2 linked regions of the Alligator mississippiensis genome follow. The protein of the gene in region 2 purifies or fractionates together with the protein of the main gene of each other region. This does not show direct contact. Links are inferred from orthologs where the notes say so. Each region holds a gene or a part of one and is shown on either strand. Other genes may lie near its edges.

Region 1 (10,411 bases), on a different chromosome or scaffold from region 2:
TAAATGAGAGAGAGCACATCAACACTGCCTTCTGACTCAGGATGGAATCACACAGTGGCCTAGAGAAAGCAGACTTCAGGAGGATCATTCTATAAAGCAGCACATAATACTCACTAGTAAGCCTTTCTTGTACTCAATTCCTGCCTGGATTTTTGTATCTCAAGTACTTGGGTCTCTAACATAGGGTCAAGTGTACCAAAGAGATCTGTTATCTGGAGGAAGCTCCTGGTCGGGTTTGTAGCAACTTGGATGCCTTCAAAGGTCGTCTCCCACAAACCCTCCAAAATTCCATACCACGTTTCAGCAGTAGACTCTCCTGTAGAAGTCCAGTCCAGATTATGGGGCAGGGCATGGGTATATTCTTATATGTCGTCCTAGTCCTAAGGTTGTTTGTTTTGTAGCATAACTGGCCCTTTCCCTGGGAATGCCCCTTCTACACTTCATCTGCAGTTATAGCTACCCGTAGATCTTGACATTTTAGTGGCTGCTGTTCAGATTACTTTGACCCATGTTTCTCTCATCCCGTGACTCTGGGAAGTTCAGAATCTTCCCAGAAGGGCCACAAGAAGTACAGCGTGGCTGCTGTAATGGACACACGACACTTGGGTTCCATACTTGTCACAAGATGCAAACATAAAGGGATAGACCTGGCTGTGACCCACCATTTGAGCAGTGCATCACATTAGTCAAAATGACCTCAGAGCACTTGAGGGCATACAGACAGGTGAATCAAAGTGTCAAGTTAGGCAGTACAAGATAAAGGAGTTACACCTTATTCCCCCCTACCCTCCTCTCCCCACAACGAGTACACAACCACACATCTTCAGAATATTCATCTTCTGAAGAGGATCAGTTAGTGAGATAATATAATTTTAAGAAGTTATGTGGATGTAAGGCAAGTTATCCCTCAGCAACTAAAGTTATTTCTCTTCCTCCTCCAAAATAGTCTTTCCAGCATAGACAAAGCCTTATTTATATCTACAAGCAAGAAAAGTTGCAGTCTGAGAATACACCTCTCTTCTCTCTGTGCGTTTTTAAATCCAGTCACAGGCAGCAGTTAATTCTACGACCTCCTGTGACAAAGAAGTTCACAGAGCAACTGTATGTGACATTAAATACATTTTTCTTTTCTTCTTAAAAATGTACGTCTTGTTAATATCACAAAGGGAACCTTTACTGAGTATATCTTATTAATAAGTTCAAAAAGATTTTAAGGCCAAAGAGTTTAGCATTCCTCAAAAACCAGACTTGTCAGAGAGTCACATTACTCACATTAAACACTCAATATTACAAGAGCTTGTGACTGGAACAGAGTAATTGTAATTATTTGGGTCTTTTGAGGCAGGAAGGATAAGTTTAACATAACCATATTGGGTACAACCCTACTCAGGCTGAGCCCATTCCCAGTGGGCATAAAAGAAATCTCTTTTACAAAGTTCAGGGCCTTGCCACACACAAAATGTGCATGCAGGCTTAGTTCCAAAATCAAGTCTTACATACACTAACATTAGTCCAGAGAAACCCCACTGGAGACTGTAAAAATTTACACCACTGTAACTGGGCAGAATCTTACTGCTTGTCTTCTTATACACTATAAGTGTATACTTATACACTTCTTTTACACTTTGTATACAGCACAGAGGAACTAAGTACCTTCTCATTCCACTCTTAAATCCCTTGTTATTTTTTAATGCAGAAAGACAAAACACAGGAAAACACATTATGTCAACAGCTGGTTCCTGAAGTACAGGAGACTTAGTGGTTATTTACTGGCTCAGTCAGCAACAACATACAGAATAACAAAATTAGTTAACCATGCATGATTCATTCTGATCTATTTAGAATCAGCTGATCTGGAAAGAAAGAAGGAAAAAAAAGAATTTTTTTCACTCATTTGCTGACTCTTTGACCTTATTTACATTTAAAAGTTTTTTCCTTCATTTTTTTCATTAAAAACTTATCAATGTCCTATATTTTGTTGCATTTTATAATGCTGCTTCTGCTCTATTGTTTGTTCATAGTTCAGCACCTTAATCTGGGAAAATATGCTATAGTGAGAAAATATTTCTACTACATCTGAACTTGTATTTTCCCTTAATTGGCTGTAGGCATTCTGACACCATTCTGTGTTCAAGATCAACATTACTGCATAAAATGGGAGGGAGAAATTCTTAACAGCAAGATAGTCTTATGGCCACCAAATTATCCCTCCAGGATGACAGCTTTGGCACAGTGAAAGTAGAACAGTCATGATCAAACACAGTGGACCATAAAACATGTGGAGGTGTACTCCTGCTGGGCATGGCTCCAGAAAAGCCTGTCATTGCTAGTCTGCAAAAAGTTCCTTTTTAAGAGGGAAAGTTAGTGCTGGTCCAGTCAGTGTTAAAGGCTGAGCTCTTCTGACAGAGCTTATGATATTTTCCTGGAACACAAAACAATAATGTGAATGGCAATCAGAATGACCATGGTAAAATTTTCTGCACTCTTTAGGTAGTGGAAAGCATACAATGAAGCCACTACTTCTGTCTTTGTACCCATCTTGACTATCTTATCCACCTGCACACACACGCAAGTGAAGTTCTTTTAAGGGTGTTGTTAGATGGACAAACACCCACGTGATCCACAAGATAAACTCTAGAGATTTCAAATATGAATCCATAGTGTCAAAAACATTCTGACCTATTAAGGTATTTCTGAGCTGAGTTAGGCAATTTAGAATCTGCAAGTCAAACATTTTGCCACTATGAAAATGTTAGTTGCGTAATGGATTTTCACAATGAAAAGTTCATTAACCCATCTATTTTTATTGCCTGAGTGGAATATGCAATTTCACCATATACCATCAAATCCATAACCTGAGTAAATAAATTGTAAAATAAAAATAATTTTTAAAGACTATTTGGGGGAAAAAAACTACTGTATTATTGTAAGAGTTTACTGTGGCTTTAGAAAACCCTTTAACTTAATACCTTGGGAAAATTATGAGATTTTCCCCAGTAGTGCAACATGTGGTTTTAAAGTCTAGGTTAGTGCTAACAGTGAGAGACAGGCTGGGGATTGATATTTGATATTCTGACAATATCAACCCCCCAAATAAACAAACAACCCCCCCCAAAACCTTTTTTCTACATTTTCTTGCATGCTAAATCTGATTTCTCAGAATTTTGTTAGGAGAAAAAAACACCTTATCAAAACAGCCATTCATAGCATGGAGCATAATAAAAATGATACTGTATGTGCAAATGCAATTTATCAAAAACTTTGAGCTAACAATGTGTGGTTTTATATCACACACTGAAAGCTGTCTTATAGTAGTAGATAACTGCATAACAGACTTTCGCCCCCAACGTAATGGATTTTTAGCCTCAACATAAAGAAAATGCTTAAGAAAGATCACGTAACTTGTTTTGATCTGTACTTCCTGTCTCATACATGTGGTTATTAATATAGTGCCATTTTGAGCCATCTTTAATGGAGTAATTTATGCCTCAATTTTATCTTGCCATTCAGATCGCTCATTAGCTTAAGTCATTAAACTGAGGAAATTGTGTGCCTGGCTGCAGGAACTGTAGAAAACAGATTTTAAATGGCTTATCCAATTCAGACAGTGTTTTTTGTTTTTGTTTTTTTTTTAAGTGACTCTCGCTCTAAAGTGATCATCCTTAAAACTGGTCGGTTTTCCTCCCCCTGGATACTAAGTGACAGAACTTTAATTTGCAGGAAGGATACCAACAACCTCTTCCTTTCCCTTACCCCCCCCCACACACACACACACTTCAGCCCTAGTGTTCAGGTTTAAGGCCAAGTCTCTTGCCGTGGAAGCAGAGGAAGTTAAAGAAAGGAATGCCAGTCTGCAACCTACTCTGACCTGCAGATGGACCTGTGGCTCGAGGATTGGGCTTTCATGTCACCTCAAGACCCACAGATGAGCCGTGGCAGAAAGCATCCTCGTGTGGAGGGATCGTGGCCACCGACTCTCCAGACACATAACCAAAGAACGAGACCTCTGGCACTGAACCTCCCTAACCTGGCTTGCCAGCTCTCTCTCTGCAACACCTGGCATGTCACCTCATTCAGAAGGGCTATACTAACCTATTCTTGAGGTAGGTTGTCATCGGCCCATTCCCATTGCATCTCGGCCTTTTTGCGACTAAGATCAAGTGTGACTGGGGGCATCTGAACCCCAAGGCCTCCAGGAAGAAACCTGGCACATCACGGGAGCTAGAAACTAGGCAAGCGACCGCTCGTGTCATGGGTGGCTGGGACCGTAAAACAGCGGATGGTGGGCTGAGACAGGAGGCACCTGGCTCTTTGCTTTCACTTGCGGACACTGCAAGATCTTTTATTAGATCAACTAAACGGCTGGGAAATTTGTTCTTTGCAAGCTTCTGGGCACAGACTCCCTTCATCACTTGCAGAAATGCAAAAAAATCAAGAACTCTTGGTTCCAAACCGAGACCTTTTATGAGACCAACTAAGAAACGGCAAAAAAAAATCATCGTTTGCTGCATGTTTGCCGGGCTCACGCGCCCCTCATCAGGCTCAGGGGAAGCTCAAGATGGTAAAGAGTCCCCATAGGTAGGAAATACGTAGGACCCAAGAGTTGGAGCCGGTTGCACTCCTTTTTGCCTCAGAACGCCCCGGCTGCCACATGCATCCCTTCGCCACTCGGGCATTTTTTTGACTCTGAAAAAATCCCCAGAGCTGCTCCCAGACCCTGCCAGGTATTAAGGCAGCAGCTCCCTCTCTGTCCCTCCAAGGCAGAGTTTGGATGATGGCTTGCACAGGACGGCGTGCATCCTGCTTCAGGCCGGGGGCGCCCCTCCGCGGGAAATCTGTGCCCTCAGCAGCCAGCCGCGCAGCAGGTGCCAGCCCATGCCGCAGGGTGGGGCGCCCCCCACGTCCCGAGCCCCTGCACCCACCTGCTGCTCCCGCCGGGCTTGGGCGGCACCGACCTGCTCCTGCGCCCCGGGGTCCCCCTCGCAGCCGCAGTCCGCGGGCGGCAGCACCTCCGCCCTGGATCCCATCGCCCCGAGCCCGAGCCGCGCGGCCGCAGCGGGAGGAGGCGGCGCCGCTGCCGCCGGCTGGGCAGGGCGCGCCCGGGCGTCACGGGGTGGCAGGGGCGGGAGCGGCGGCCGCGCAGGCGCCGAGGGGAGCCGCTCCCTCCCGCCGGCGCCGGAGCCCCTGGGCAGCGCCGTGGGGAGGGGGGAACGAGGGAGGGAGGCAGGGCCGTAATTTCTCCTCACGCTCCCCCTGCTCCGGGAGCCGGGCGGGAAGGTAAGGGAAGGGAGCCCCGCGGGGCAGGAGCGGCCCCTTCCCAACCCAGTCGTGACATCCCTGCAGGGCAGCAGCCAGGCAGGGAGAGCTGGGGGGCGGTTCGGGCCTGAGCTTGCCCTTATCACCGCACAGGCGGGCGAGGGCACCTGCGGTAGCTTTTAGATCAAGAGTCGGGAAAATTGTTGCTTTGCACAAATGCCCGTCAAAGATACCGCTTTATATATATATATATATATATATATATATATACATACACACACACACATAATATTTCGTGTTCCAGGTCAAATGAGTCAAATCGCATTGACTGAGCAGAACTCGAGCTTCCAAAAATGGCATCGATGAAGCAGGGGCGACCCTGAACAATGTGTGCCTGAAGAGGCTGCGGGGGCACGGTGGGAGCTCCCACAGGTGGTCGCAGCAGCGTCAGCAGCGGGGGTGGCTACCCACAGATGCCACTGGCAGTGTTGGCAACAGCCAGCGGAGATCAGCGATGGCCTGCAGATGGCAGCAACGGTGTTGGTGGCAAGGGGGGGTGGTGGCAAGCAGCGACTGCCTGCAGGCACCACCAGCACATGGCGGTGGCCAATCACAGGGGGTGCGTGTGCACCCCCTACGCGTCACCAATGAGCACGACTCCATCGTTTTAAACGCCGTGTACGGCACTGCAACTGGCAACATCCTCCACCCCAGACCTATCACCAGAGCCATCCCTAGGGGTGTGCACGGCCCAGGGCACATTAGCCTGTGCACATATTGCTTCCCATCCACTCTGATGTTCCCCGACACACATTTGCATTTTCACAGACCTGCATTTTGCATGTTGGCTTACACTTCTATTCCACCCAGGAGAGCACAAACCAGCAGACTCTCCCTGCGCCTGAAGAAGGGTGTTTGTTCCTGAAAGCTTGTAAAGAAAATTTTGTCCAAACTATTTAGTTGGTCTAATAAAAGATACTGCATTTACCCCCAAAAACCTATATGATCTGGGACTTCAAGTACAGGCAACCCCTACTTAACGTTGTTTTGCTTATTGCTATTTTGCTATGACGTTCATTTTAAATTGATACCTGATTCCACTTAGCGCTCAGCAAGTTTCATTATAACGCTCGTAGTCGCTACCTTGTATCATTAAAAAAACTTGCAGTCACCATCTTGGATCTCAGTTACTTTAGGTTTTGCCTAATGCTCGTTTTGCTTAACGCTGGGTTTTTCAGGAACCAATTAAGACCACTAAGTGGGGGTTAGCTGTACTCCCAGACCTATAGGCAGGCATCTTGTGTGCAGGCCAAAGCCCAGAGGTTTTGGGGTTTGGATGCCCCCAGATACTACAGGCAAGCATCCTGCATCCTAGACGCGTTAGTCCGGGACTTCAGTTATTCCCTACACTCAATCTTAGCTCACAAGAGGATGAAAAGCAATATCACATTCACCCAAAGAACCTTGTCTGCCTGTGTCCTCAGACCAGGGTCGGGCAATTATTTCGGGCAGAGAGCCGCTTACTGAGTTTTGGTAAGCCATTGAGGGCTGCATGATAGGCAGCCAGGGCAAATAAATATTAATTTTCTAAATTTTGTAGGGGCCCCATGAGCCGGATAGAATGGCCTGGCAGGCCGCATCTGGCCCACGGGCTGCATTTTACCCACCCCTGCCTTAGACCAACACGGCTATAATCAACAACCCTTTATCACCTCCCAGCTCTCATGTCACAGAGTCAGAGAGGTCAGGCTGGAAGGGACCGCCAGAGGGCATCCAGTGCAACTCCCTGCCTGAGGCAGGATCAGCTCTATCCAAACCATCCCATACAACCATCCTGTAAACTCAACGTAAGATCAACCCTGACACAACATAGACCTAATACCCTAGCCTTGGAACCCTCCGCTCAAGCTGTGCCTCTGGGCTGGAACTCGCTTGTGGTGGACTTGAGACAGCTTTCAAATCTCACTGAGAGGTTCAGTACCTCCTCAGTGACTCTCCAGGATGGCTGGGACAGCGGGAAACTGTCATTGTGAGTGAGAGGTAAACAAGGATGAAGGGAAGATACTTTTTCTGCTCTATGGGCTGCTGCTACACATTCACTGAGTCATAAAAATAGGGTTGGAAGGGACCTCAGGAGGTCATCTAGTGTCCAACCCACTGCTCAAAGCAGGACCATCCCCAACTATATCATTCCAGTCAAGGCTTTGTCCAACCAGGTCTTAAAAACCTCCAAGGTTGTCAAGTGTTACATATATTATGCAAGTGACTAGTCCACTGCAAAATAAACGTAGATGGGCCACCATGCAAAGTAATTACAGCATGATAAAAAAAATGATTTGCCAGCTATAAAAAGAATCAACCAACTATAAAGTTAGTGCTTGAAATTGTGTAACAACTTCATAGCTGGATTCTAGCTACATGATGATGTAACAGGGTCCTATATAGATTAGCTAAGTCAGAGAAATGGAGCAGAAGTTTTCCTAAGCAGCAGGCTTATGACAGCGTCTGCTACAACATCTCTGATTTGGTTACTCTACAAGGTTCATCTCTACCCTGCCACACTTCAAACTAAGACGACTAACTGCCTCTCTCCAGGAGAGCTTCTGGCCATTGTTAGAACATGAAACTCAGAGCAAGCCTATCATTTCTGCCTGTTGTTTTCTGTCTGAAAGCAGAAGCAGGAAGTACAACAAACTCTCTTCAGCAACCACCCTTAGATCAAAGTCCAAAACAAGCACTGCATTTAAATGAAGCGAGGAGTGATAATACACATGACTTACATATGGCAAATTATTCTGTTAATATTTATAATGATCTAAAAACTAGTTTCATAGTTTCATAGTTTGAAGGGTTGGAAGGGACCTTGACAGATCATTAAGTCCGACCCCCTGTCATGGCAGAAAAGAGCACTGGGGTCAAACGACCCCAGCAAGGTGTTCATCTAGCCTCCTCTTAAAGACCCCCAGGGTAGGAGCCAGCACCACTTCTCTTGGAAGTTGGTTCCAGATTCTAGCCGCCCTGACTGTGAAGTAGCGCCTCCTGATGTCTAGTCTGAAACTAACCTCTGCCAGCTTGTGACCGTTATTTCTAGTCACTCCTGGTAGTGCTCGGGGGAACAGGGACTCCCCCAATGCCTGCTGGTCCCCTCTGACTAGTTTGTAACAGGCCACTAGATCCCCCCTCAGCCTTCTCTTGTGGAGGCTGAACAGGTTCAGGTCCTGTAGCTTCTCCTCGTAGGGTCTGCCCTGCTGCCCCGATCATGCGGGTGGCCCTCCTCTGGACCCTCTCCATGTTGTCCACATCCATTCTGAAGTGCGGTGCCCAGAACTGGAAGCAGTACTCCAACTGCAGCCTGACCAGTGCTGCATAGAGGGGGAAGATCACCTCCTTGGACCTGCATGAGATGCATCTTTGGATGCATGACAAGGTACTTTTGGCCTTCCTGATCGCATCCCCACACTGTCGACCCATGTTCATTTTGGCATCAATAATGATTCCAAGATCCTTTTCTGCCTCTGCACTGACAAGAAGGGAGTTCCGCAGCCTGTAGGTATGCTGCTGGTTCTTCCTCCCCAGGTCCATCACCTTGCACTTGTCAGTGTTGAAAACCACCCTGTTCTCATCTGTCCGCCCCCGTATCCTGTCTAGGTCCAATTGCAGCCTAAGGTTTGTTAAACCAGGAAATTCAGAGCTAAGGTTAAGCTTAAAAGAAAATGTCCCCCAGGCTTTTGTATCAAGCTAGCATTGACAATTTCATTATAGCAATCATATTATTGTTTAACTTTTCATTCAAGGCAAATACAATAATAAAATCAGTTAAAGTGTTTGAAATACAAAGTAGGAAGCAAGGCTTTCAGGTTAACATTACCTCCTATTCCCGTTCTCCTTTGTTCTGTCATCGTCTATAGGGACATGCACTGTCACTTTCCTAGAAGTTATTAACTGCCCCATTTAGAAGGAAAAAAGACATGGTTAGTTTAGATGGTAAGTTGTTGAATTCCAATCCCTCTTTCTTTAAGACGGAGTGCAACAAACACACAAAAAAAGAGAGAAAAGGAAAGATTAAAAAACACTTTTGAAAGAGCCACTTGGATACTAGCTGAAGAATTGCCGCAGTACAAAAAGAAATTCCCCACAAATCACACACCATTAGTTTTGACATACCACCCTTCCCTGGAACCTATACAGAAAATCCGCAAACAATTGCAACCCATACAAGATTCATAGATTTCATAAACATTCAGGCTGGAAGGGACCTCGGAAGATCATCGAGTCCAGTCCCCTGCCCCAGGGGCAGGAAGTCAGCAGGGATCATAGGATCCCAGCAAGATAAACATCCAAATGTCTCTTGAAGGTGTTCAAAGTAGGTGCTTGAACCACCTCTGGCATCAGTCTATTCCAAACCTTGGGGGCTCGGATAGTAAAGAAGTTCTTCCTTATGTTCAGCCTGAAACGGTCATGGAGGAGTTTGTGACCGTTTGACCTTGTCATCCCTTGGGGCACTCTGGTGAACATCTGTTCCCCCAGATCCTGGTAAGCATCCCTGATAAACTTATAGGTGGCCACCAGATCACCCCTGAGTCTGCACTTTTCCAGGCTGAAGAATCCCATGGCTCCCAAGAAGAAGACCAGTTCTTAAAGAGATTTTTCCAGAACCACACATCCTAGCCTTTAAACAAGCACTGAACCTCACCAAACTTATCACCAGAAGAAAACTTCCTATGGCCCAAAGCACACCAAATGGATCTAGACCATGTCAGGACAAGACATGTAAAACCTGCAAACATATCTCCACTACCCCCACAATTACTACACCCTACCACAGAACCATCACCATTCCTGTATTTTATACCTGCACCTCCAGAAATGTACTGAATGCCTTGATGGAAAATATGTAGGAGAAACCAGACAACAACTGCATACCAGAATGAATATACACCAAACATCATCAAAGACAAAAATACCCAATTACTTGTGGGTGCACACTTTTCACAAGACAACCACTCTCTCTCCAATTTCTTAGTTCTAATCCTCAAACGGAATTTACAAAACACCTTTTGTAGATAAGCCTATGAACTTCACTTCATAAATCTACAGGATACAAAAAATCATGGACTGAATATAGACATTGGATTTATGGCACATTATAACTTGC
Region 2 (10,204 bases):
ACAATTTAGGGCATGCTTTCTCTTCCTTTGAAGTCAGTGGGTGCATCTACAAGTGCACATTTACTGTGCAGTAACCAAAATTACTGCTCAGTATGAGTGCACCTTACACATGCATGCCTACTGTGCAGTAAATACAGCGACTTATGCTGACTTGACCATAAATTTGATACCTACATCATGCAGGTATCAAATTTATGCCTGTTTAGTTACTACACAGTAATGCATGTGTAGACACCTTATTGCGCAGTAACACTTTTTGTGTGGACTGTCTTGGGACTAACTTTGAAGCCTGCATATGTAGATGTTGGTCTCTTCTCGCTTACTGCGCAGTAACTTACTGTGCAGTAAATTTAAGCCAGTGTAAATGCATGTGTAGACACACCCAATGAAAGTTTTATCCTTGCTCTCAATAGGAATGTGATCAGCTCCTTAGCTTCAGACAGATCTATAGGTGTTATTTCCTTGATAATTGGTGATAACTACTTAAGAATCATTTTAGTCTACCAGGTATTGTTATTTCTTACTAATTTATGATTAAATATCAGTTAGGGTAATATAGTGTCATAAATTAAATTATGCTTCACATATCCTTTTTTTACAGCCTAATCAGAAAAGACAAACAACAGCAAGTCAAGCCACAAACAATAGTTCAGGAAAAGGAAGGTTTAGAGAGATGGCTGAGTGAGAAAAAGGGGAAGGAAAGGGTTGTGTAGATGTAGAAAAGATTCCAGGAGAGATTACTGGTAACACAATGAGGGGCACAGTTTAAGGAACTGAATAGAACAGAACAAAGCCTAGGAAAGAGGAAAAGATCTTCCAGTACAAAAAAAAAAAAAAAGAAAAAAAGAAAGAGAAACAGGCTCTTTCAGATATATGTGGCTGCATTTTGGAGACAGCAGAAGGCAGGGTAGAAATACACCTTATAGGATAGAGAAAACCATTGTATGTGAGAGTGAGTAGGAGGATGTACATTGTAGGAGGTGAAAACATATGGGGAAAGAAAGCTGTAGAGGAAGGCAAGCGTATGCGTGATCTTAAAGATAAGGGAAAGAAGCTTGAGTTCAGGGCACTAAAAGACAGGAAGCCATCTAAGAGATTTGAGGAAGTGGTTGATGGATCCAAAGAAACAGAAGAGTAGATGACATGAAAGCCCCATTTTGGACAGACACTACTTTAGCAGATAACTGAGAAACAGGATGGCCAGAGAAGACAGGATTACAAATAGACAAAGCATGAACTAGAACCAGATAAAGAAACTATCACATATTAGCTTTGCTTCCAGATCTGCAATAAAAACTAATGGAATTACTTTGATATAAAGTCACAGTGCACATCTCTGTTTGTCAGAAGCTAATATCTTGGATGGTTTTAATTTGTTCTATTCTTTTTCAAAATAACTCCAAATAAATATGTCTACCTTCATGATTATTTGCTTGCCAAACTTCGTTTTTTAATTAAATTTACTTCTGAGTTACATGAGTGCAGAAAAGAGGTAAACTTCAAAGTTGTTCTCTACTGTCGTTTAAATGGCAAACTATATTTTTCATTTGGTAGTTTAAGTTTTATATTACATGATTTAGCTAAGGGCAAATATTTGGTATGGCTGAATTATAAACTTCTCAAGAAGCAGGTTTATAATGGAAGTGGAGACAATCTTCAATAAGGCATTATAAACATTAAATCAAATTTCAAAGCAGAGACGGATCTGAACCAAAAGCCTAGAGGTGACCACTCCATGAACTTTGGCACAAAGTAGATTCAGATTCAGATGTTATAACCCCAGCCAGCCCCAACTAGGAAATCACTTTATTGATATAAAGATGTAAAGTTAAGCACATATGAAAGCATTTGCAGGATCAGTACAATAAAATGCAATAACCAAAATGTGAGAAATGGATTGCAGAACACAGGCTTCTGAGTATTTCATTTGATTCTAGTTTATATTTTAGATGATTAAAGATTCAACATGTTCAGATAATAAATAAATGGAAACTGGGGGCAAGGTGCTTTCAAACAATATTTGATGATGCTCATACATGGATGGAAGAGTGTGCATATGGATGTCTGCAAGAAAGAGATGAACAGAAAAAACATTGATGACATATGATAAGAGAAAAGGATGTTCGTATGCTGAGTTGTAGTACAATATCATGCACACTCAGAATAATATAAAGGAAATCTAACTCAAGATCTCAGTTTAGTTCTGAAGAAAGGAAGGAGTCCTGCTTTAAAGGAGGTTGCTGCTGTCTGGTAGCAAAATTGGATCTGTAGCCTAGTGCACACGTCTCTATAAGGGAAAAGGAACCATAGATTCTCTATATCTTAGTACACAGCTATCCAACTGGTGTCCTGCAGGCCACATACAGCTCTCAAGGGGTTACATTGCAAACCTCCCCCCCCTCCAGGCTCCTGCCAGTCTGCCACTCCCTCTGTCACTCCAAATGCAACAGCAGCCAGGGTCTCTGGCACCTTTGCCCCCCACCCCTTCCTGTCTCCAGTCCAGGGGGCAGGGAAGTGTGGTACAGGGTGATTTGGGGACCTAAGGATGCACTGCAGCTGTGGAAGGAGTTGCCAAGTGGGTGTGCAGTACCGCAGTGGGCACCATGCAAGTACACAGTGCAGCAATCAGGGATTGGGGACTGAGAGGCCAAGAGCCACAGGTTATGTGGCCCCCAGCCCCTTAGATGTAAGACAGCCCTGCCTTAGATTGTTGTAAATAGTCCTGGGATGTGGATTTAGTGCTCACCAGACAGGTGAGGTAGTGAAAGCAGCAATCATCACTTTTTTTTGCAAAATAGTACATGGATATTGCCTCCACATACATGGTGAATCTATTTGCTCTGTATTTACATGACTTATTTTAATTTTGATTATTTACATTTCTTTTAAAATATACAAAATAATAGTACTCTAAAGCTGAATATACATTTAATACATGAAAAAAGAACTTGCGTATCTGTTAGGAAAACAAAGTCAAAAGACAGATGGGTTTTTGTTTGGAGCACCCTAGAATAATGCATTTGGGAATGGATTTATTCTCTCTGTGACTTCATAGAGATGCACAACAGAACAACACTAGTCCCAAAGGAAGACAGCCATCATTTTCAGATGATGTGTAACATTTTAATACACTTATTCTTTGGGTGTTTGTTCAATAAGTAAAAATAAGACTATACTCAGCCTCTGAGACTGTTTTAAACACAAGTTATTAAAAACTCAAACAGACAACCTTAAATATGGAATTTACTAACTCAAAAAGTAGATACACCTCCTTGAAAAAGCTACATTGTGTCTCCAAAAGTGTCAGCCTAGCAGTTATATTAGGGATAGCACCATCTTAGGGGTGTGCTACACTGTGTCCACTCAGCATCTGTTCTTTAATAATCAGAGCAAAGTCATCCCAGACCCCCTCCCCAAGCTGCTGGAATATCACTAAGAAAGGCGGGGAAATCCGGTGGATCTTAATGTGCCATCCATAAAATATACATCACAATCGATCAAGAGGTATATGATGGGTGCCGAGACTGGCTGAAGACAGGGAAATGAGAAAAGGCTGAGACTAAACTTACTGTATTGACGTCTGACTAGCAGCTGGCAGCCAGCTCGTGATGAGCCAGGAACCAGTCTGCTCGAAGGCATAGGTAAGGGTTGAGATGGAGGAAAGAGAAGAAGTGGGTATTCAGCTATGATTAGGAGAACAAATTGCAGCTGAACTTTGGATATGATGAGACTGGAATCAGGAAACAGAAGAAGACTATCTGGTCCTGTGCCTGGCATTCAGGAACAACAATTATGATAGAGGGCATACTATAAAATAGTGATGAGCTAGATAGTCAGTTCTTTAAAGGACAGGACCATCTGCTCAGAAAGACAAAAGAATGGATAATGGAAATGAGGTGAGATTGAGTCAAGTTTGGAGGAGTCTAAGGCTGAGTGTGATTTCTCAGCAGGGATACAACATGTTTGTAGCTTTGTTGCATGCAACTGCAGACTTGTACAACTGTGTCTGAAAATTATTTCAACCACAGTTACAGGGGACAGGGATTTATGTTCTACTGCACAAGGCAAATGACCCTGGCCTCAATAGCGTCAAATCATTTTCTCACAGCATCCTCTAAAAAAATCTCTTTGTGGAACGAATTCCCTAATATGCTTTGGTTGCTGTGGTGGTGGTGGTAAGTTTTAACAGTGCTTGGCCCTGCTGTACACTAGTAACAAATTGTTTCCCAGCACCGGGGAGGAAGAAGGACCATGCAGCTGTAGGCTGTTTCCTAGAGCAGACCCATCCACCTTTCAGCCCTTAGAGGCCTTTCTCTACCCCTACCACAGCTCCCACAATAAAGGCAGTCCCGTTGAATCCAGGAGCTGCATGTGCCCTGCGTAAAGGGCTCCAATGGGGAGGTCTCCAAGGCAGGCCAGTAGGGCAAAGCAGGGATGGCAGCCGGACAGAAAGGAAAGAAAGATGCCAAGGCCCCTGTAATCCCAAGCCTGTCCCGCTGCTCGCCAGCCAGCGCCTGTGCCCTGGTGCTGGGGGCAGAGCGATGCAGTGATCTGCTTGCCAAGTATCTGGTGCTGGGCATTCCCTGCCCCAGAAGACACAGGCGGCCCCCTGGCATGGAGGGGGCAGGACAGGTTGTGGTAAGGGGCGAGAAGACACCCAGGCTGGGGAAGGAAGACTTCGAAGATGGGACGGGGAGGGGAGGCGAGCCCCTGGCAGCGGGCGGCGGCGGGCAGGAGCGGGGGAGTCTCCTCGCAGGCGCTGCAGGGGGCGCTGGGGGAGCCCCGGCCATGCCCCGGCTGCCGCCTGCCCCTCACCCCGGGGCGGCCGCGGGCTGGCGGGTCGTCCCTGGCTCCGGGCTGATCCTGCCCGGCTGCCCGCACCTCGGGGGGCGAGGAGGAGCCGGCGGAGGAGGAGGAGGAGGGCGGGCAGGGGGAGGGGCCGGGGCTCGGCAAGCGGCGGCTCCTCTGCCTCTCTTATTGCCGCGAGTCGCGCTCCCGCTCGCAGGCTGCGGGAAGGAGCCGCCCGCGAGCTTCGCACTTGAGCCGCCCGCCCCGGCCAGGTTGGTGGGGCAGCGGCAGCGGCAGCGGCAGCTCCCGGCCGGGGAAGCGGGTGCCGCGAGCCGGACGGCGCAGGGCAGGGCGCACGAGGCAGGAGGTCGCCCGAGGGCTCCCCCCTCATCGCCTCTCCACTCCCTCGTGTCCCCGCAGGCTCGCCACCCGCCCCTGCCCCCGCCCCCGCCCCCGCCCCGCCAGGATCCGGGCTCCGCCGGGCCGGGCATGGCCGGGGCAGCGCCGCCGGGGCGCGGAGCGAGCGCGGGGCCCGGGAGCTGAGCCGCGGGTGCGGGCGCCCGAGCCGCGACGCCGGGACTGAGCCGCCGCCGCCGCGGAGCTCGCCTCTGCCCCCGCGCCCGCGGGAGGATTTGGGATCGGAGACGAGCCGGGTGCCGAGGGGGCGCTCGGCTCGGGGGTTTGTGCTTCCCCTCTGCTTGCTGCCTGCCCACGAGGGAAGATGGCCTGGGGACTCCTCCTGCACTGCGCGGCGCTCGCCCTCGCCCTCGCCCTCGCCCGGGCTTTGCGGAGCGGTAAGTGGCGGGGCCGGGCAGCTGGGAGCGAGCGAGCGCCACGACCGCCGCCGGCGGGGCCGCCCCTGGGCAGCGCCGCGCTCGGGGCCCCGCAGGTGTCGGCGATCCCTGCCCCGCGCCCGCGCCCGCGCCGCCCTCACGCCTCCGCACCGGCAGCCCGCGGCTCCCCGCGCCGGAGCGGGCAGGGGACAGCGGAGGGTCCGGCCGGGCGGGGATCCCCTGACAAGGACTTTGGCAGAGACTTTACTTTCAGGCGACACTTGGACACGCAGCGCCGAGCCTCCCGAGCGGCCCCGCGGCGCAGCCGGGCTGGAGCAGGCTAGGGACTGTTTGACAGGAAAGAGCTCGCCTCAGTTCTTCCTCTCCCAGTAAACCCTGAGCCATTCCCATGAACTAATGATCAAATATTTACTTTGGCCTGACTGGGTTTTGAATCCAAGTGATTAAAGGAAGAGGCTTACAGTGGGATATGGTTTCAATAACAGAGACCACAAGTGGCGTGGCTGGCACAGGGAGGGAGTGGACTCCCCCTTGCTCTTCCCCGGGCGCTGGAGGAGGCTGCGGGGCTGGAGCCCTCCCGCAGCGAGCTGCCCTGTGCCAGTCTGAAGCGGGGCAGCATTAGTGAGCTCCAGTGGGGTCCCGAGGTGAGGAGTGGGCAGTGCCCCTCCTTTTCAGTCTGAAGCAGACTGTGTAGGTGGACCCCGCTGCTCCCTATTCGGGCCGGGCTTAGAGGCCAGCGTGGGAAAATCCTGGGGCTGTACCGACTGCATGGGACCGGGTGATGGGGATGTGTGGGGTGTGCTTTGGCAATAGTCTTCCTTCAGGAAGGAACAGGGAAGGCGGCGGCTGTTGCTGGAGCTAAGGAGCAGGCTCCCTGTGTATAGTCATAGACATGATGTAGTAGCCCTATCAAGGCACCAAGGCTGTTAACCTCGCCTGTGACTTTCCAGACCTACTAATGCCCTGTCCACCCTCATCCAGTACCAGTGCCTGCTGAATTAATTCATTAACCTTATTTAGTCCAAACGGCCCGAAGACATTAGAAACTGCTCTTCTTAATCAAGTGTCAGAGAGATTTCACAGAGCCGGGGAGTCTAACAGACCACATTATCTTATTATACTGTCACTTTCCCAGAAGTCGCAGATTAAAGAGCACTGGTGGTAGTGAGTGCACCTCTACATCTCCTGAAGTGACTCTGTCAAGTGACTAGAAACAGCACTGTTTTATTTCACTCATTTAACAGATGCCAGATTCTGCCATGTTGTTTGCACAGAGCTGAAGTGGATTTAATGAGGCAGGATTGCTTTCCAAGTCTGCTACACGCTGAAAATAATGCAAGGGTCTGTTGGAACCATAGGCAAAAAGATCACTAGTGGCACATTTAGGGCAGTACCTTTTGTTCTTGGCAATGGGGGGGAAATGGTTTCCAAAGCCAAAAGGCAAACAGATAATAAGCTAGTGCCATCCTAGGAATGGGTAGGAATATGCAGTCTTTGATAGCATGGGTAGGAATATCTGGTCTTTGGGAAAAAAAAAAACAAAACATAGACTCCATCACTTCCTTCCCTTATAATTTATAGCAAATGATTTCTATAATGCGTGTAGCTTTATGCATTTTTGATGCACACTTCATCTTTCATTTCCATTTGACCTGGTTTTCCTGTAATAAAATTCTGTACATTCATAAATTCATGCTGAGAGCAAGGAATGCCATTTTCCTTCCACGGGGAATCTATTAGATACAGTGTTACAATCAGTGTATACCATTATTGGGAAATAGTGATACATGGGCTTATTTATTAGTGCATACCTGCTTCTCTTCTATAGTTTATTGCCATATCTTATTGCTGAAAATGAAATATCGGTATATGGGGGAAAAGTGTTTTGGGCTGAAGATCCGCAGTAGGAAATCCATAGTAATGAAATGTGACAATGCAAGCCTATCCTGGACAATGGAACAACCAACTTGGCAAAGCCCTTTTAGCTTTGCATTACTTTCCTCTATTTAGTCTGCTAAAAAACATTATCATATTTCATTGTTTGCAAAGGAGCAAGATGTAGAAGACTAAATTTCATACTTGCATCTGGTGACTGGTAACTTTTTCAACTGTTTAGGAATAAACCTTTTGTTGCTGTTGTTTTTGGGGGGAGAAAGCGGTTCTGCTTCATTACTTTGATCTGGTCCCCAGGCATGAACAAACTTCCTTAAAGGAGTAATACTGAATGATTTCTGCTTCACTAAATGCACTTTGTTCTCTGTTAGTCTGGATTTAAAGAGCACTGATAACTTCAAATTGCTTAGATTTATGGGCTGATAAACAAAAGAAGGGTCTGCTGTGAGCAAAGTAGGGGACTACAAGACAACCCCTGATGGTCAATGACACAGGCCAGGCTTATTATCAAATAGCTGTGCAGGGGGGCAGACAGCATCTTTTTAGACCCTTTCCACTTAAAACTTGTTGCCTAATGAGATTACACTTCTCTGAGATAATTAAATCTAAAAGAAACCCCTGTGAGCCAATGTTACCATCAATTGTGAAGATACGGTTGTCTGTATTTGTGAAGTGAGCCTTTGTTAAGGAACACTGTTTTGAATCGTGGTCTCTCTAAATTAGAACCACCATTTAGAAAGATTACGCATTACTACCACCAGTTCACAGGAACTGTGATCTACTTTAACCAGTAGAACACAGTAAAAGTTTGCTATAGAGACTGTAGAAAACACAACATTTAAAACAGCAAATAGTTGACCACTTCCAGGTTACTAGATGAAGAAGTGTGATGGTTTGGGGAGAATAAACAAAATCTGTTTGTTTTCATTGCAGATAAATGTGGTGATACTATAAAAATTATAAATCCTGGGTACCTTACTTCTCCTGGCTATCCTCATTCCTATCATCCAAGCCAAAAATGTGAATGGCTGATTCAAGCTCCTGAACCCTACCAGAGAATTATGATCAACTTCAACCCTCACTTTGATTTGGAGGACAGAGATTGCAAGTAAGTGAGAGCCTCTGAAAAGGGCACCATAGCACCATCTAGTGGATAAAAATATTCATAATGTCAACTTGCTGCTTATCTACTTGGTGAAAAACAGCTGACGTGTGCAAATTTGCATGGAAAATGAATTCATGAGAGATTTGAATCTAGACTAGATTAGTGGTAAAATGTTAGTGGTAAAGACATTAAAGTTAGGTGTTGTGCTTCCTGAGCCTGAAAAACCTAGTAAGATTATGTTTGATTTAATCTTATAATCCTTCTGTCTCCTTTTCCTGGATACAGAAGCCCAATATATTTTTTCCCCGTTGAAATGCTCTCCTCAGTGTTTGCAGCCATTCAGTAGTGGTGAAGTGGCTGTGAGTGAGTGGAAAGAGGGGACTAATGCTTTGGTTTGCATTCCTCTTTAACAGTGAACTACTAAAACTATATAAGAACCATATATCATAAAATGGTTAGTTAGAGCATTTTTTAGCTAAGTGAAATCCTTCTGTAATGTTCTACTACTAAAAACTGCATTTGAATTACTTATATTTGACAGGAGAAGCCATAAATTCACGTGGCATTACAATACTACATGGAGTGTGACTAGAATGAAAGAAACACACAGCTTCTCCAATCATTCTGGGGTAGAATGGGAGATTATATCAACACAATTATTCCTCTTAATAAGATAGGACTAGCCTGAGAATTTGCTCTTATCTATTAGTAATGGGTAGTGGACAGCAGTCTGATAGCTACAGTTTCTCTCCTGCCCCTCCCTCTGCTGCTGGTCTATATCAGACTACTGCCTCTGGAGAGTGGGATATTAAGAAGACTGAAGGTAGAAACAACCACAGCCCCATTCCTGCTTATCCATACTCAAAGTCCTGTACAAGCTGTGCTCTACCTCTGTTCTTTGGGCCAAGAAATGGACAGACAGCATATAGTCTGATCAGATGTTCAGGTCCCATTTTGTAATAGGCAGTCCCCAATTTCATGCCATTGGATTCAAGAACATGTTTTAATTATTCTTTATTTAAATTGTGCATGGCCCCTCTCAGTGATCGTGACAATCTAATGACCTCATCTACATGCCCCAAAATCCAAAAATGGATAAAAATCAGTGCCAATCAGTGAGGCTTGGCACTTCCTAGGAGCCCTCAACATCTCACTAAACTGCTGCTTAAATTCAGCTTTATAAAGGAGAGAGAAGAGATGAGACAATGGGGAAAAGAGGGTCAGTATTAGTGGAAATTTTTTTTTCCCATATATGTATTCTTGGTTCCTAATTTTAATCACAAATTGATTTAGTTATTTTATAAACATTGATTTCTTTTAGAGTGAATGTCAGTAGTGGCAGAGTATAGTAGCTCACTTTACATTTAATCAATTTTCAGTGTTGTGCAGTCCAGTGTAGGCCAGTGTTTTATGTGCTATGGCTAGGTAATACTGTAAGAGGACTCTAGGTTTGTAAAACTAAAACTAACTCTTTATTAAGACAGCTATTTACAGAGGTGATGCAACTGCAGCTAGCATTCAAACCATGTATGTAAGACTGATTTCCTGATCCACCAAACTCTTCCCTTCCGTAATCTATGTAAACTTGCTTGAAATTCTAGGCAGGATGCTACAGCCAGTTCTA

Evidence for each region.
Region 1: the proteins of NRP1 (region 2) and FAM241A purify together in Homo sapiens (affinity purification with mass spectrometry; 3 studies listed by BioGRID and IntAct, with this or other methods). This does not show direct contact. The link is inferred for Alligator mississippiensis from reciprocal best matches to the Homo sapiens genes NRP1 and FAM241A.

What each region holds. Positions count from the first base shown.
Region 1 is NC_081825.1:126,284,306-126,294,716, forward strand, and holds the start of FAM241A (uncharacterized protein FAM241A), read right to left. Parts: upstream 5,112-10,411; 5' UTR 5,028-5,111; coding exon 4,923-5,027; intron 1-4,922.
Region 2 is NC_081828.1:193,669,879-193,680,082, reverse strand, and holds the start of NRP1 (neuropilin-1), read left to right. Parts: upstream 1-4,994; 5' UTR 4,995-5,509; coding exon 5,510-5,582; intron 5,583-8,408; coding exon 8,409-8,583; intron 8,584-10,204. UniProt on the Homo sapiens protein: Cell-surface receptor involved in the development of the cardiovascular system, in angiogenesis, in the formation of certain neuronal circuits and in organogenesis outside the nervous system. Mediates the chemorepulsant activity of semaphorins.